3 linked regions of the Arabidopsis thaliana genome follow. The protein of the gene in region 2 interacts with the protein of the main gene of each other region in a biochemical or structural test. Each region holds a gene or a part of one and is shown on either strand. Other genes may lie near its edges.

Region 1 (5,296 bases), on a different chromosome or scaffold from region 2:
GAGAGTTTTATCATGAAAAGTTTCACACTTCGTATGGTTAATGGGATATAAAAAAGAAGGTAACTTCCTATTAAAAGAAGTAGATTTTACCTGGGTGTTTCTGCTTTCAAAACTTCTACGGAGATCATGTATGGCGCCTTTTCCCTAGAATTCAAAAGAATGCATTCGTCTTCAGGAATATGGACCACACGAAAAACTCCTCTCCCCATTGGAAAACAAATTCCTGGAAGGTTATTTGAATTTAAATTATGAATAGAAATTCAATTTGATAACAAAAACATTTACCACAACAGAAACAATGTTGACGAAATATAAAATAAAGAATTCAATAATCCTTAAAAACGCGGAGGTTTAGATGCCAAAAAGATTGGACCAGATAATTCTCTCAAGAAAGAAACACAAGTCCAAGGAAATCCTATACAAGAGAGGAAAATAAGTGATAAAAGAGCAAGGATGGAAAAACATAGATTCTTCAAACAAGAGTGGAAATAAATATGATATAACGGACATAATACTAATTTAAGACAAGCAACACGATGAGCACTCAGAAACTTTAACAGGGCATGAAACGTTCACATACTATTTCAGAGAAAAGCATACATGGCCTATAGAATATATACCGGCTCAATATATTTGAGCTACACATATAAAGTAGACCTCCAAATAATAACTCTTAAAATATAATTTTAGAAAAATACCTCCAGTGATTTCAGCTTCCGATAAATGAAAATTGATCTCTGCAAGAGACTAAAACCAAACAAAAGAAATATAAAATTTAGTCAGTTGCTACAAAGGTAGAATTTGACATAAATTTAATTATCAATAAGAAAAGTCAGTTTCACCTCCCGAAGACCAATCTTCCGATCTTCGATGGGAAAGATATCTACCAAACCATATGACGTTTCACATAACGCTTGTACAAACTCCAACGACTCGTGGTAAGCCCCTTTCCTGAATTGTGATGCAGTATTGTTTGGTAGCGGGGGCTTACCAGATGGAGTATCATCCCGCTGTTTAGGTGAGCCTGGCCGTTTCTGCAATGGTTATAATAAGAAACATTGGTATGAGATAATCAAGCTCATATGAAAGAAAAAAAGTCTGGCATAGATAAATAATCAATTGAAGTCGAACAACCACCCTGTTTCAGCCAACATTTGTGTCAAGTAAAATTCAAAAGAAGGAAAGACATATGATTGTATCCTACAAGAATCTTGATAAATGACTCTGAAGATGTGGATCAAATGAAAACTGAATGTCAAAACAGTGCAAATGCAACCAGTATATGCAATAAGACAGAAACACAAAAGACCAAGTCAAACGAGAACAAACCTCCTTGTGTTTCTTTGATCCAAACAGTTCAGAATCTTCAACAGATTGGTCACGATCTCTGAACAACTTGCGGAAAAAGTTTTCTGTCCCAGGACTGCTTTCAACTAAGCCATTGCTGCTATTTTCATTTTCTGAAGTAGGTTTTGCATCTTCGGGATGTATACGGAATAATCTTTTGAAAAGAGAAAATTCTGGAGATTCATCACCCTCACTTTCATTCCCGTCATCAACCTTGACAATGTCTTTCTTGTCATCAGATTTTTCCTTAAAGAATTTTTTGAAAAACCCCTCCCTCTCATCCTCTTCACCAGATTTCTTATCGGCATACACTGTTCCATTGGCTTCATTCTTTTCACTACCATGTCTTTTGTCATCATTTTTTTCCCTGAAAAGTTTCTTAAGGAACCCATCTTTGTCCTCATCATCCACTTCTTTAGGAACTTTATCATCTTCAGGTTTGCTGTCACGGAATAATTTCTTAAAAAAACCTTCTGAGTTTGGGTTTGACTCCTCGTCCTCGTTTTTACTCTCCCGTAACAATCTCTTGAAGAAACTGTCTGAATTTGCACCCAATTCCTCTTCATCTCCCTTATTATCTCGTAACAACCTTTTAAACAGCCCATCTGAACTCGATGTCAATTCCTCGCTTTCTCCTTTACTACTCAAGAGCCTCTTGAAGAACCCCTCGGAACTGTTTGTTATGTCCTCATCTTCTGATTTATTGTCTTTCAAAAGGCGCTTAAAGAAACCCTCTGAGTTAGGTATTGGTTCATCACCCTCACCTTTGCTGTCCCTCAAGAGCCTCTTGAAGAATCCTTCCTTTTCACTCTCTTCATCATCTTTGTCAGCTGACTTTCTAAACATTAAAGCATCTCTGACTTTAGGACTTGGGATAAGTTTCTTAAAAATCTTATTGTCCTCAGCAGGTAACTGACTACCATCATCCTGCACGTTGGTCCCTGGCGAAGGTGAGAATGACAAAGACTTCTGGGTGGGAGGAGATAGCTTTAAGGAGAAGAGCTTCTGTTTTGATGACAAAAGTCTATTTAGGACCTGATTCTTGCTCCCTGGGGTTGAGACCTCGTTCTGTGGACGCATGAGAGGAGACCACTCACCCATCAAAGTAGCTGCAATTTGACACTTCTCTTGAATCCTGCTGATGCCTTCATTATCGTCAGCATCCTCCAGCTCAGCCAACAAAAACCAATGCACTTTCAGTGCGATTTTCAGTGACTTTCCACAGATGTCTATAACAAACTTATCAAGCGATGGGCTTGGTTTGTGCACCATCATGTAGCAAATCTGGAAGAGATAACTCTCAATACCTGATAAGGGAAGCGTATACATCCTATTGCATAAGTAATCCCTAACACCAGCATGAGGGTGCTTGTACAGATAACTAACAGCAATCCACTCACAGAAGAAAGCAGAATCGAAAAACCTAATAAGCCAACCATTAGAACCAGTATCGCCGATGATATTACTCTGTGAGGTAATCTCACGAGGTGACTCAGCCGAGTCTCCTCGGACCAAAGATAGAAAGCGTCCCATCGGCATCCTAATCAGCCAAGCATAAAAAGCCCTAGCTCACAGACCCAAATCATCCGTCGAGACAACAGATCCAGGAGACTCTTCCAACAAACCAGATTAACGGAGCCTCTCTCTTCCCCAATAACTAAACCCTAGGATTACCCGTAAAACCTTAACTCAAAAAACCTATCTATAACCACCCAAAGCTCAAAATCTCAATGCCAAATCGACGAAATTTGGCTTTATAATGCTTAACTTTCCTAAATCGCGAAAAAAACACAGAAAATAGAGATTTCTCCGTATCCTACTCACTCCAATCGCCGTAAACCGAAGGCGATCGGAAATTTCTCCAGAATCCAAAACTAAATCTCACGTAGAGAACCAAGCGATGAGCTAATTAATCCCGTTCTTCCTGCTATCCGAGAAATTCTGCTTGTTAAAATTCAGAGCAGAATCAAGTAACAGAATTAGCCGGAGTAGATCGCCGTCGTCTCAGCCGGAAGCAGTTTGTGGTGGAAGATACGGTCGTCGTCCTCGGCTGTTGGTGGCAGACAGAGAGAGAGAGAGAGAGGGGAAAGTAATTATCGTTCGCAATACTTTTAAATTATTTTCATTTTTTTATTAATTTTAATTTTTTGGTTTTTAGTAATTCGTACTATTTAATTATTATTTTGGTTTGGCGAGGGAGGAGATCTAACGTGCGCTGGAAAGTCCACGCGATCATAATAAAGTTGAAAATCCTTGGTGGGAAGTAAACGTGATTTGTCCACAACGGGACACTTGGACAGTTGATTAACTTTTGTTGACAGTTGATTTTTCATTATTTTCTTTCAAAAGATTATTACTATTGAGATTTTGAATTTTGAATCTGATAAGCTAATTACAAGAAGTAATAATCTGATTTTTAAAAAATACGATATATATTTATATCTTTCACGATGCCACGAAACATTTTGTTTCCTTTCACTTTCACGTCTCTAATTTTCTTAACACATGCATTTCCTTTTCAGATGAAGAAATTTTGTACTCGTTTCATAGAACAAGTTGTAATTGGTACTATAGTCAAACTACACTGTAACAAAATATAAATATGATACTCTTGACAAAAAGTTGGGACTTACTTACTGACAATGACGATATTATGAGAAAATTTCATCTACTAAAATGATATCATATGATTTCCTGTATTTTATTACACAGTTTTTATGAGAAAATTAAAACGAAATTAAAGAATTTTGTTGTTAGTCATTGCAATATTACACCATAATTTTCTTAAAAAGAATATATAAATGTTACTTGTAGTATTTCTTTTTTGTATAGTGGACTTTGAGAATGTTTCTGCCTGAGCTTTTGGCGAATATAACTATGAGGGTGTGAGAGAAAACATAGATGAAGGAATAAGCGATAGATCGAATAAAAGGACCAATGTTGTGAGACAAAGTAATAACATAAACTAAAAGAGTAAACGCTAGTAATAGAGAAACCGATATGGTCTAAAAACAGAACACTCCAAAACATACATAGATTAACCCTAATAAAAACCATTAATCAATTTCATACAGCCAAATCTAGCTGGTGAAAAAAGATTCAGGTTTTTTTTTACGCACTAGAGAAGAACAAAACGAACAGTACGGCACTGAGTACAGTTGTGAACGAGGTCGGAATCAAAGAAGATCCATCGTTCCCTGAAGAAGGATTTGGAGCTAGAAATCCGGCTGTCTCAGGTCCAGCAGCAGCTACTCCTGGAGCAAGACCTGATAAAATTAGGTTCCACATTAAGAAATCTCAAAAGCGTAAAACATCTCAACGAGAAATCACATAACTAACATGGAGAAAAAGAGCAGAGATTTCCAATCACTCGAGCAAATTTTTACAAAGAAAATCACAAATAAGGAATTCACACAAATTTTTGTCATGGTTCGTATTAATTATAATTTTTTGTATTGTAGAATCTTAGATAAATCATTTTCACTTTAAGTGAGAACCCAGATGATCAAAGTCAAACAATCGACAATTTTTATCTTTTCAAAATTTTCAAGTGGGAATTTAAAAACACAATAAAGCATTGCATGAGACAAAACTTAAGAGTAAAATTAAAAATCAACCAAGAAGAAAGACAAAATACCTGGAGCAGTACTTGGAGCAACAGACACTGTAAGAACAAAAATAAAATAAAAAAGCATTATAAGTAATTTAATCAACATCAACAACAACAAAAAATAGAATCTTAAAACAGTTTCGAAAAATCTACAAATTATTTTCTTAATTAAACTGAAAAAATTAGAAAAAATGTGGATTTAAGAAACCGCTCTCGAAGATTAAGCATAACAAATTAAGATCTACAAAACCGGAAGAGATCTAAGAAACAAACAAGTTAAGAAATGAATAGATCTTACATCCACAAGTAGCGATAGAAGGAGCGTGAAGCTTGCATGCG
Region 2 (7,058 bases):
CTTTTGGTTTATGATAAAGCAAAACAGAGTAACATTTGAGAGGTTTATGCTTGGTCTCGTAGCATTTTTTGTTTTTTTCTTCTCTTATCTTGCAAATCAGACGGTTGATTTTGATTGTCTTTTCTTCAGTGAGAGACTGGTAGCTGGTTTGATTTGCCACTGAATAACGAGAGTTTATTAAGTTGAGTTTTAAGCGGAATCGATTGAATAACCAAAACTCTTGTTGCAGGTGAGCAACAAAATGGATCCCTTTGAGCTGGTTAAGCTAGTAGAAATCCTGAATCCTAATAACAAGCCTGGAAGAATCACTGTAATTGTGAGAATGGGTGCCGAGAACATGAGAGTTAAGCTTCCCCACCTGATCAGAGCAGTCCGCAGATCAGGCCAGATTGTGACATGGGTCTGCGATCCAATGCATGGAAACACCATCAAAGCACCTTGCGGTCTTAAAACACGTGCCTTTGACTCAATACTGGTACACACTTTATAAGCTAAACCTCTCATAAGCGTAACATAGATTTGCCATAACAGAGATTTAAACTTCCTGTCTTTTTCTACAGGCTGAAGTCCGAGCATTCCTTGATGTGCACGAGCAAGAAGGAAGCCACGCGGGCGGTATCCATCTCGAGATGACAGGTCAGAACGTGACAGAATGCATTGGAGGGTCCCGCACTGTGACCTACGATGACCTCAGTTCTCGCTACCACACACACTGTGACCCAAGGCTGAACGCGTCACAGTCTCTTGAACTTGCCTTCATTGTTGCAGAACGGCTCAGGAAGAGAAGAACGGGTAGCCAGCGTGTGTCTTGAGTCCGGTTCTTCCCTTTTATACACTTTTTGATTCCAAACAAATCTTTTCTCTTTGTCCTGTGACTGTGAGTTGGTGTCTTTATGACCTAAGTTAAAAGCCCCAAAAGCCTCTCTAGGAGGAGTAAACCTGTTTCTGCTGTGGACAGACCATGTCATGTCATTGTTCTTTATGTTAACTTTAATGTCAAACCGTGTCACTTACACTAGTGTATATTTCTTTTTACATATCTACACGAACATGAAACTTGTCTTCTAGTTAGTACTAAAGATTGATCTTCGTCTTTCGGCTATTCGTAAACTAGAAATGAACAAATCTTTAGAAAACGATCTTCCAAAATGGCCCATTAGCTCAGTTGGTTAGAGCGTCGTGCTAATAACGCGAAGGTCGCAGGTTCGAAACCTGCATGGGCCATTTTTCATAATATCTTTTTTTTTCTTCTGAGTTTCGTCGTAAATAAACAATCCGACGCCGACGGTTTTGGGACCCCCCACTAATCAATATCGTGTCCCGCTCACTTAACCCAAAATATGATCCCCTACGTACCTCTTTACTCTCTTCTGGTGCTCCCAACAACCATACTTCGTCTCGATTTCCATCACGTGTTCTACACTTCTCTTTATTCCACGTGTCATGATCTTGGCTCATAGTCACTCTCAATTACCAAAGACTCTCACACACTAGATCATACAATAACACAACAATTTAAATCAAGCAGTCAATAATCAGCCAACTAGCTTTTTAATTTTCTCTACAATTCCTCTGTCGCTCTCACCAGTTAACAGCTACAGCACAAAACTGTAACCACGCTTCCGATCTCTAAAACCTGAGAGAGAGAGAGAGAGAGAGAGAGAGAGACAGAGAGAAGTGTTTCAATAGTTTGGCGTGAAGATGGCCGGAGGAGGCGGATACGGCGGCGCATCGGGGAAAGTTGATTACGTCTTCAAAGTTGTTCTAATCGGAGATTCGGCTGTTGGGAAATCGCAACTACTTGCTCGATTCGCTAGAGACGAATTCAGCATGGATTCTAAAGCCACCATCGGCGTCGAGTTCCAAACTCGTACCCTCTCCATTGAACAAAAAAGCATTAAGGCTCAGATCTGGGATACCGCTGGTCAGGAAAGGTACGATTTCTAAGATTCTCTGCGTTTTGGAATCTTAATCCGAAGAATTTTACTGGATCTGTAAATGTTTCCATGAAAGCGACTTGGTTTGACTAGAAGATGTTGCATAGATTTGTTTCCTATTTTGTACATCTACTTTATCTTGACCAGATCCTGAATTTGTTATCATCGAAATGTATACTTGTATTTAGTGTTTTATCCGATCGAACGATAAAGGGAATCTGGAAAATCATGTGTAGGAATAATGCTCCATCTCAATTTTAATCAGCATCATGTGTAGGTTCGAGATTTTGTGTGATTTTTAGCTGATTTGAATCAATTTGGAACAGAAGATTTGGAATCGGTCTTTCGTTTCGTGACTTTGCTTTTGTTGCTCTTAGCAGATACAGAGCCGTTACAAGCGCATACTACAGAGGAGCAGTTGGCGCAATGCTGGTTTATGATATGACGAAACGTGAGACCTTTGAGCATATTCCGCGTTGGCTTGAAGAACTGAGGGCGCACGCTGATAAGAACATTGTCATCATCCTTATTGGAAACAAGTCTGATCTAGAAGATCAAAGAGCTGTTCCCACTGAAGACGCTAAAGAGTTTGCTGAGAAGGAAGGACTCTTTTTCCTCGAGACCTCTGCTTTAAACGCAACCAATGTCGAAAACTCCTTCAACACTCTAATGACTCAGATATACAATACCGTGAACAAGAAGAATCTTGCATCTGAAGGCGACTCAAATAACCCCGGTTCATTGGCTGGTAAGAAGATTCTCATCCCAGGTTCTGGACAGGAGATTCCCGCTAAGACCAGCACTTGTTGTACTTCTTCTTGATCTGTCTCCTACTCAAGCAAGATTCATTTTTTTTCCTCCTGAAATTTGTGATAGAGAATGCTACTTTCATTGTATATTCTTTTTCGAATCTGGCTTGTTTGCTAGTTCATTAAACATTGGTGTGCAATTGGACACCGATAGAAAGTATTGGAACAAATAGCTTTTGAATGAAATATGAAACAAACAGTCTTTGAGAGTTAACGTCAGCTTCAAGCTGTCTCAGCAGTCTTGAAACAGTTCTCAGCTTTTTCTTTTTCTTTACTTCTATCAGAAAGCCTCTGGATAAGTTGGTGACAATCGACTGTTGTGACCATAACGGTTAAGCTAGCCTTGCCCTTCCAGCATCCAATGGCTATTGTTGATGAATTCACTTTGAATTGTTCTGACCCGAGCTGAGAATCTGTAGGAAGCACAAACAGTTAAAATCATATCCCACATGACCAACCAAAAGTATCTTATATAAAACCGATACACACCATCAACGAGAACCATAACGCAAGATCCCAAGGCTAGTTCTGCTGCTTTCTCACCAATCTGTGGATGTATGAAATCTAGAAACTTGATTGATTTGTGTTGCAGGAGATTCTTGAAATCCGCCATTGTTGCATAAAGTATTTGCTTGGTCATGTACGGAAGGATCACAGGCAATCCCTCTGACGTTATTCGGAATGAGCAACAGTTGGCTTCACATTCTTTTGCAGATTGTTTCTCCTGCGTTTTTGGTTAGTTAATAAATACCGCCTCTGCTATATTTGTATTTGATCAAGAGAGAGAGAGGGATGAAACTATATTGTACTTACAAACATCTTGAGGCCAACAGAGGAGATCTTGAGCGGCTTCCCAACTGCAAAATTAAGCTCAAGAACATTCTTAACTGCTTTCGAAACATAGTAAATCCTTTTCACGTTTCCGTGGCTGCTTATGTCGCTGTTTCTAGTCACGAGATGACCATACAGCGGAAACGATTCATCTTTAATGCCGTAAAATGTCTTGATCCCGTTGATCCCTGTTTGATCTCTCAAGAAAACAACAGGGTAAAGGCCTTTCCACTTCCCTTGCATTGATGGTACTTCTCTCTTGCCTTCTATATCATCAAGTTTTTGAGCCAATTCTACGATACCTTCATTCCAGGTGCTTTCCATCTCCGGCGGCTCAAAGCCATTCTCTGAAACTGTTGCTTCTAAAACTATTTCCTCTGTACCCTCTTCAGGTTTAGTAACCACAGTGTCAGATACTGCTTCATACGAAGAAGACTTCTCAGATGAGTTGATGTTGTTTCTAGTAGACAAATTCCTTTTCTGAGTTACTTTCTCCTGAAAGTCTGCAAGAAAATGATCCGGAATTCGTATTAAGGAATCAACTAGAGAGGTTATGCAACAGAAAGTTCTTCTAATTCACCTGGTAAAGGTGAAACTTTGTGAAGGACTGCAATGAAAAATCCCCCAGTGTTTTGATCATGAGGCAGTATCCTCATACAAAGTTCAAGGGGAAGATCACAGACTTCTTCGGCTGATTCATCAGAAGAGATAGAAGCCATTTCTTCATAGCTGTTTTTGCCACCCGATGAGTCTTTATCACTTTTACCAGAAGGAAACATGCTCCTAAGAACTCCGTCTCTCTGTGACTTTGGAACATCTTTGTAAGATCTATACCAGCCACCTCTGTCATGCACCTGAATCCACACAGATACAAACCATGATTAAAGCTTCATTACTACTCATCCTTACTTCAAAGTAATAGGTAATTTTTTACCTTCCATTTCGTAAGACCTGGTCTTCTAATAAGTTCTGGAAGCTTATCTGAGACATCTACAAGCTCAACAGAGCATCCACATCTCCTCAGAATCTGAAGAATACTAACAATATATCAGTATCCAGAAGAATAGGTCAACGGAGAAAGAAGAAAGAAACTATCAAATTACTTCAGCAACAACAGCTTCATCTTCAATTGGGTTCATTGAGCAGGTTGAGTATACCATTCTCCCACCAACTTTTAGCAGAGATAAACCTGAAACCATACAATGCAGATAAAAATCAAAACATAAGATTCTGAGACTCGGATCATCTGAGAAAAAAGCTTACCTCTCATGGCAAGCACAACCTGTAGACTATGAAGTCCATTGCCAGATCCAGAATTCCTGTGCAGAAACCGAGGAAAACAAGTAAGAATCTTGAAGCAATTGGAATCAACACATGTCAATTTAAAAACTCATAAATAGAGAAACCATCTTCGCCATATGTCTGGAGCCTTGCGCAGAGTACCATCACCACTACACGGGACATCACATAAGACACGATCAAAAAGAAGCTGATCGATGGGATGAGGATTAGTCTCAGATGCTACAGACAAGGTTCTCTTGGTGTTGCAACTGGGGAAATGTTGACCTTCGTTGTTAGTGACCATCAAATTGGTCGTACATGTTCTTTTCGTTTGGTGAATAAGAAGATTAGATCTTTTATAATCAACATCATTCGCCACCACCTGATTCAACCAAACAAAATTAGAAATAAACATGATCTATCAACCAAAAAAATGAGTAAAGATGAGAGAGTATTACAAACCATTCCATTAGGTAGAGATCCTGGTTCTGATGATTCATGTATTATTTCAAGCAGCTGAAATGTCTTGGAACCAGGTGCAGCACACACTGTTCAGACAAGTGAATCAGTTAACTATATTACTCCTCAAGTCCATAGCCATCTGTAATAATGTCGAATACAGTTCACTCACTGTCGAGAACAAAATGATCTGGATGTACATCAAGGAAGAGAGGAGGTACCTACGTAATCATAAAAGTCACCACGAAAACTATAAAATGTACCGATGAATGTCATTAAAGAATGTAACACAACCATACCATGCTAACTGATTCTTGCCTGGTCATGTTCCCAGCTTCAGTTTCTAACTTAAGAAACTCATGAAACCTGAATAAGACAAGTAAGCGAATGGAATTGAATACTTGTTCTGAAGCAACTGGCATGAAAATGTACCTCTCAAGTGTCTGGTTTTTCCTAATCTCCTTGCGTGAAAAATTAGAATGCCAAGCAAGATTCTTAGGATACCAAGGCAGAGGCTTGATAGCCTCCAATTCACCACTCTCTATAGCCTAAGTAAGGAAAACAAATCTGAGTGCTTCTTATTAATGAGAGACTATAAAAGAGAAGAGTCATGAATTAACCTCAGCCTGAAGAGATATCATGAAATCATTCTCCAATTTCAGTCGAATCTCATCACAAAATTGACCACTGAAGAATCATAAACAGAGACCACTTACTTAGTCAAACAAAAAAACTTATACTTTGAAGGATACTAAATGAAGTAAGGATACATACTTGGAATAAACTCTGAAAGCAGCAGGTAATGGCTTACGAAGAAACTCCATAAACGAATCCCACTCTTGAGCTTTCACTATTCTTTGTTCCTTATACACACCGCAACAATGTTGATTAGAAGAAAAGTTTCCAAATCCATGCAAGTGTCATTGATTCTATACAGGTACCTTGTAATACTCCTCAAAATGAAGATTTGAGCAGATGGGCTTTTGCAAGTTGTTGGAATCAAAGGAAGCTTCGGATTTGAGGGGTTTTCGAACATTGTCGTCGTTGCTATTTTCGATTTGATTTCTCTTCGAAGTTGAACCTCTGTGTCGTCTCCCTCTTCCCATTTTTGTTGTTACCGTCGCCGAGTTTTTTTGTTTTCGCCGGAGGCGTCACAGCGCCGATGGGTTTTATGGGTTTTTAAACTAAAATTGATTTCGGTTTGGTTTACATTGCTTTTGAGAAGAAAATAAATAAATAAGACACGCGACATAAAGCATGCTTTGGGCTTACGACTGGGCCGATAACCATATCTTCCAGCCGTCTTAACACTGAAAAGCCCAATACGTTTTGACTTCTCTGTTTCTTGCTTTTTAAGCCAATGACTCTGTTTTTTGACTTCTCTGTTTCTTTTACATGTTGTGAGTGACTTTTACAGAAAAAAAACAGTTCTCATTGTCCGCATCACACGTGGATATCCTCGCAGACATTTTCTCTTGCGTTGCGTCTCACGCACAGCAACTAAACACCGACACAGTCCTTAGAAGGAAGTTCAAGAGAGCATGCTCTCTAGTCTCTCCAAAACCTAACAGAGCCTCAACTACTTAACTTCGAGAACGAGGCTTACAAAACCTACATGATGTTCCTCCAATACATGGTTACTTGCAATCCAAACGTCTCCAAAGAACTAGATCTCGAGTCTCTTCTAGTCACTGAATGCGCAAAAATCGTGAAGATCTACCTTAAATGCACAGATCCACAG
Region 3 (5,727 bases), on a different chromosome or scaffold from region 2:
AATCTATTAAATCAACCCGCGTTTAAAGTGACTCCACTACACTCATCACAAGTGTAGAACCATTCTAGTGGCTACGGAAACGCTCATAACGCCCATAAGATAATTACGCATACGATCATCCTCCGCAACCATGCTTTCTCGATGAGGGGAACTTCCTCCTGTCTTGATGTCTTCCATTGGGCTCCACATATGTAACAAAATTTGTAGCCACATCTATATGATATCCATCAACCATGAACATTACGATACTGTTAATTACGTGAAAACATAAACAGATTCTAAAAGGATTAATTATAACAGATAGAGAATGTGAATATGTGATGATGATGATACATGCATGTTACTCTGATGCATCCATTAGAAAATTCAATCATTTGGTTGCAATTTCCACATTGACGCCACATATTCTGATTTGCTAAAGATTCGAACTTTATATCATCTTCTGTAGGATTTGGACCCAATCTCTTGTAATCTTCGCACGACAAGTTACTATGCCACGCATCTTTGCAGATGTTACAAAAGGGGTCACCGCATTGTAAACAGTATCTCATAGTTCCATCTCTGGTTTTCGACATTAAAGCCGAACACCTTGGATTTGGGCAATAAACTCATATCCTTACTTTGCTAAAATCTTAAACCCTAATTAAACAACCCCTTTTTGAATCTATTTGCACAATACATCTAGTAAAGTAGTTCGACATATATAATAATCTAACACTGGAAATGTATTTGATGTGTTCTATCTCTCTCTCTCTCTCTCTCTATGATCCGAAGGAATGGTCTCTACTTGTGATGAGTGTAGTGGAGTCACATTACATGTTATATTTGTGCTTGGAGACATATTTGTTCTATGGATTCTCTAAGAAATTTTAAAACGGGTTGAGATTTTACTATTTGATAGTTTTGTATACTTGTATTGAAACATTATGCATGGAATCTATCGACTCTACAAGCAGTTTACGCATCTGTTCATGAAAAATGGGAATCTGCATTATATTCAATTAGTATCTCAATGCTATTAAGAAAGCGAACAGAGAGATCTTGTATTGAAAACAAAAAAAAGCTCGTGGAAATGATTACAAACATAGTGTTACAATGATACAAGTTGACGTGTATGTATGCATATTTGCTTTTCTCTCCTGTGGACCAGATTGCTCTGTCCACACAAAGATATCACCATAAAGTTAAAAGTAGATCGGAGAAGGAGGCCATTTCCCTCTTCCGCGTCTACCGTGAATCCTACCTCGAGGGAGGATGAGTAGCACAAACAAAAAGTGAGAATAATAAACATACGTACGTGAAAGAGATGACCCGAGGATCCAAAACAAAGACAATCTTTAAGTATCTGCAGCTTCTGTGGTGGATTCTGGATGTGTTGGTTCAGCTTCTTCTTCCGGTTGTGACACAGCCGTTTCCTTCTGCTGTTCAGCGAGACGGCTGATGCGTTCAAGCAACTGCGCTGCTTTTCGTTTCCCTCTATCCGTCCCATTTCCAGCTAAATCTATCAATGGACCCATAAGGCCGAGTTTCTGCGCTTCGACAAGATGTTGTGGGTCTCCAGAACAGAGGTGGACTAGAACAGCAGCTGCGTTTTCTCTGTTTCTAGGCGAGCCAGTTCTGATAAACTCAACCAAACTTGGGACTGCATCAGAGGATCCTATGATTGCTTTTCCTTCGGGGTGGCTAGAGAGAATCGCCAAAATCGCGAGTGCCTCATCGACCATTCCGCTTCCGGGCTCTGTCAAGAGTCTAGTCAACGTGGGAATCACTCCTGCACGTATAGCTTTTCCTTTGTTTCCTTGGTATATACAGAGGTTAAAGAGTGCAGTAGCAGCATCTTTCTTGCCTCTTTGTGTACCTTCATTAAGTAATACAACGAGTGGCGGAATTGCTCCTAAGGCACCGATAGTCACTTTATTTTCATCGATCACTGATAGACTGAAAAGTGTAGCCGCCGCATTCTCTCTGGCCTCCATGCTTCCTTTCTTAAGCACTTGAACTATACCAGGAATAGCTCCAGCTGAAACAATGGCTCCTTTGTTGTTCTCACATATGGAGAGGTTTAGAAGAGCTGTTACCGAATGTTCTTGAATACGAGAATCAGGAGTTGAGAGGAGACCTACGAGAAGAGGTATGGCTCCAGCTTCGGCTATGGCCACGCGGTTGTCTGCATTTCGTTTTGCAAGAAGGCGGATTTCCCCAGCTGCAGATCGTTGGTCCTCGGGGTTTCCGTACGCAAGTCTCCACATAAGATCTTCAATCTTGTTCGCTTCTGCGGGAGATGAGAAGGACGATACTTTTCTGGGTCTTAAACTGCTCGGAGGCTTTGGAGGCTCAATATCGTTGGCCTCGCACCACTGAGCTATGAGACTACGGAGAACATAGTTTGGTGTGAGGGTTGTGCTTGTTAGCGCCTGCTGTGTTTTTGGACATGTCGAGTGTCCACCTTCTATCCATTTCTCAATACATGTGCGTTCGTATGTCTATACATAGAGGAGAACATGCTTCTATAATTAAATCTTAAGAGATCGCAGAAATAAATTTGAAGAAGCTGAGGTTGAAGTGAACTATACCTGCCCTGATGAAACAATAACTGGATCTCTCATCATTTCCAGCGAAATCGGACAGCGAAAATCATCAGGAATCACAGGTATCTTCTGACTCGCTGCCGTAGAAGTCTGTCCATTGCTTCTAGAGTTAACTCCTACTTTCTGCTCCTCGCCATTATCATCCTCCGTCTGCACAAAATCCTTAATCATCTTTAATACCATTGCCATCTCCTCAATATTTTCACCAACATCTCCACCGCTTGAAGCAACCATTTCATGCAGAGCCACTGATTCTTGAGCTAGGTCAGGAATCTCCATCAAATGTAACTTCTTCGCAACCCGCTCTAGCACAGGCTGATAAGCATCTACATCACTACTTTTGTTGCAAAGCGACTGAAGATCTTCATATAGCTCATCATCTGATACATCTACTCTTCCTTTAGCTCGCCGAAACTGACTAAGAACCAGCTCAACCTACAACAACCAAAAAAACGCTATGAATCAACTACATGTCGTCTTTACTGATCCAGACACTGGCCTAGCCAGCCTTGGGTTTCAAGAATTTACCTGTTCTCTAACTTCATCCGATATATCGAGTTCTTCATATGGAATCTGGCTTAAAGATTGTTCTAACTTAACAGACACCTCCATCAATTTACTTGTCACTTGTTCCCTCTCCATCACCTACACACAGAACAACAACATCTCTTGTGTATCAGAGCACAAATTCTCAACAACTTCCATAGATCAATCAAGTCACATCAACCACTACCAAATCTAACATCTAATCAAATACCAAAGAAGCATTGATATCACTCAAACACTACCATAGCAAAACAAAGCACGTGGCTCTCTCATTCAATGAAAACACCAATTCGTCAACGAGAACAAAAATTCTCAGTGACCACACAGATCTAATCATAGATGCTAATAAATCGAAGAAGAAACGCACCAGATAAATCTTGCTCCCTTGGCTACAAAATTTGAGATAATCCTTCGCTGAACACATAGCTTCCTTCAAATTCATCAAAGTCTTCAACGTATCTTCGCTGATCGGTTCGTTACTTTCTCTAATTTCCTCAAACATAGGAACAAGCAGCTTTAATCTCCTCGCTAGATTATAACAAAGCTTCTTCACTGTTATACGATAATCAGAAATCGCAGCAATCTCGTTAACTACATCGATTAAGCTCTGTGCAGCAGAAGCTTTCTCTTCCTCCATTGAATTGATTCTTCTCTGTTTAAAAATTCACGATTTACGGATCCGTTTTTCCTCCGGAGAAGATGGAGATCTTTCCCGATTGAGACTCCAGTGGCGAGATTGAGCTTAAAGGAAGAAGAGAACCATTTGCAGAAAGTGCGAAAGAGAGAGATTTCTGAGAAAGAGAGATTGTGTGAGAGAGAAGACGAGGACTTTTCGAAAACGGCGTCGTTTAGCTGACGGCTTTAGCTTATTGCAACTTGTACGATTCTCTCGGCTTAAGAACTAAACCGGAACAAAGGTAAATTCGACCACGAAGCCGCGGGACCGGTTACGATTGTGTTTGTTTTATTTTTTACATTAATATATTATATTATCATTTAAATTATTTCTCTATAAAATTACTAATTTTCTTGTGAAATTTTGAATATTTTTCAACTATTATATTTTCACGGATTGAATATACGAATTTTTACGGATATAGTGGTCACTTTTTTGCTGTAGTTGGTGACATTTTTGGGGTGTCATAGAAGAACAAAATTGTTAATGCATTTATAATTTTGGATTTAGTGATAATTGAAGAATTAAAAAGGTTTTATACCTCTATCTCTCTAATCATGCAAGAAAATATTTTAAAAAGAAAAATTAAAAATAGTTCAACTGGACAACGAAATTATCCTAAAATAGTTATTTCTTTTGATCTAATCCTTCTTCTTTTAAACTTTTTTTTACTTGTTTCTACTCTACATGTTTCTTGTTATTAGGTAAAGTATTAGGCTCTTTTTTTAAAAAAAATGCTTAATCCTCTGGGTACCTCGAAAAGGGAATAATACTCTAGTTAGATAAGTGCAGCGATCAACATGACAAAATGAATGAATGTTTGCTTTAATTGGTGGCTAAAAGCTAAATACACAGAAAAGTCAAAATTCAATCTCAAAATCAACCCCTCTGTCTCCAATGTCCCTAATCTATACCAAAATGTCAATTTATTTTCTTGATCATATATTCCACTAATTAAAAATAAATCCTTCTCTAATGAAATTTGTCAAGGCCTTGGAAGCCTAGTTTTAAATATTAAATGGAAACTATTTCTTCAACAATCACACTGTTATTTAGTATTGTTGTATGTTGTTCACTACTTTCTTCATTTGTTTTGTAAGAAACTATAATAAGCAAAAACACATAATAAAGTCTCATGTCAAATAATGAATCTTATGCACATGCTTGATTATTTTACTTGCACATATCCCTATCATCATTATCACATTTGTCAATTACCGTTATCATCATTACTCTCATTCTTCCCAGAACTTTTTCAGCAATTTCCATACCTCACCCACTAAGATCTTTTACCCTTTTTCTTAATTATAGTTTGGATAGCACTCTTTTACATAGCACTGAAATTTCGGTTGAACACATAAATTACTAGAAACTAGAAGGAAATGTTACTGAAATTTCACTGATTGTCTAAAATTGAATAATCTAAAGAAAATGGCCTTTTAACCTTTTTCTTAGGCCCAAATGGGCTCATTACCACTCATGCTTGTTCGGTGACCCGATTCTTCCGGTAAAACAGAGCCTAAACCGTATTTTCAGGTTAGGCTGGTGTTTTCTTAATTCTCCAACCTAAAAATAGATGGACACGTGTCTATAGAGGCTGAGATATTGGTCTCAATGAAGAAAACTAACGGCTCAGACCCGTGTATGAACGATATTAAGGGCCAAAGTTGCTTCTGTTTTCCAGAAATTTTTGAAACCCAATTTCAGGGCACGATTCCACAACCTCTTTCTTTTCTTCTAGATCTACGTAAATTCATCAGGTACATGTTATTTTTTTTGTTTATTTGATGTCAAAATTTTGATCACAAGGAGGCAAAACCAATATAAATGTAACGCTAATGCGTTTGATTATGGTATACGTAACGAATTAGATTTAATGGTTACATTTTATTGTTTTAGATTTAGTTATGAGATTGG

Evidence for each region.
Region 1: the proteins of RABA4B (region 2) and PI-4KBETA1 form a complex in vitro, tested with the Arabidopsis thaliana proteins (one study listed by BioGRID).
Region 3: the proteins of RABA4B (region 2) and PUB13 interact in far-western blotting, tested with the Arabidopsis thaliana proteins (one study listed by BioGRID).

Annotation. Positions count from the first base shown.
Region 1 is NC_003076.8:25,641,017-25,646,312, forward strand, and holds the start of PI-4KBETA1 (phosphatidylinositol 4-OH kinase beta1), read right to left. Parts: upstream 3,463-5,296; 5' UTR 2,887-3,462; coding exon 1,330-2,886; intron 1,035-1,329; coding exon 843-1,034; intron 748-842; coding exon 699-747; intron 224-698; coding exon 91-223; intron 1-90. Other genes in the region: XYP1 (Bifunctional inhibitor/lipid-transfer protein/seed storage 2S albumin superfamily protein), read right to left, coding at 4,459-4,613, 4,985-5,011, 5,256-5,296. UniProt on the Arabidopsis thaliana protein: Acts on phosphatidylinositol (PtdIns) in the first committed step in the production of the second messenger inositol-1,4,5-trisphosphate. Necessary for proper organization of the trans-Golgi network (TGN) and post-Golgi secretion in root hairs.
Region 2 is NC_003075.7:18,541,021-18,548,078, forward strand, and holds RABA4B (RAB GTPase homolog A4B), read left to right. Parts: upstream 1-1,530; 5' UTR 1,531-1,701; coding exon 1,702-1,934; intron 1,935-2,317; coding exon 2,318-2,759; 3' UTR 2,760-2,958; downstream 2,959-7,058. Other genes in the region: DHS1 (3-deoxy-D-arabino-heptulosonate 7-phosphate synthase 1), read left to right, coding at 230-475, 561-812; AT4G40000 (S-adenosyl-L-methionine-dependent methyltransferases superfamily protein), read right to left, coding at 2,969-3,159, 3,236-3,470, 3,560-4,080, 4,158-4,431, 4,512-4,604, 4,681-4,766, 4,841-4,896, 4,984-5,240 and 7 more. UniProt on the Arabidopsis thaliana protein: Regulator of membrane trafficking. May be required for secretion of cell wall components in cells.
Region 3 is NC_003074.8:17,122,769-17,128,495, forward strand, and holds PUB13 (plant U-box 13), read right to left. Parts: upstream 4,130-5,727; 5' UTR 3,772-4,129; coding exon 3,502-3,771; intron 3,234-3,501; coding exon 3,117-3,233; intron 3,024-3,116; coding exon 2,574-3,023; intron 2,484-2,573; coding exon 1,338-2,483; 3' UTR 963-1,337; downstream 1-962. UniProt on the Arabidopsis thaliana protein: Functions as an E3 ubiquitin ligase.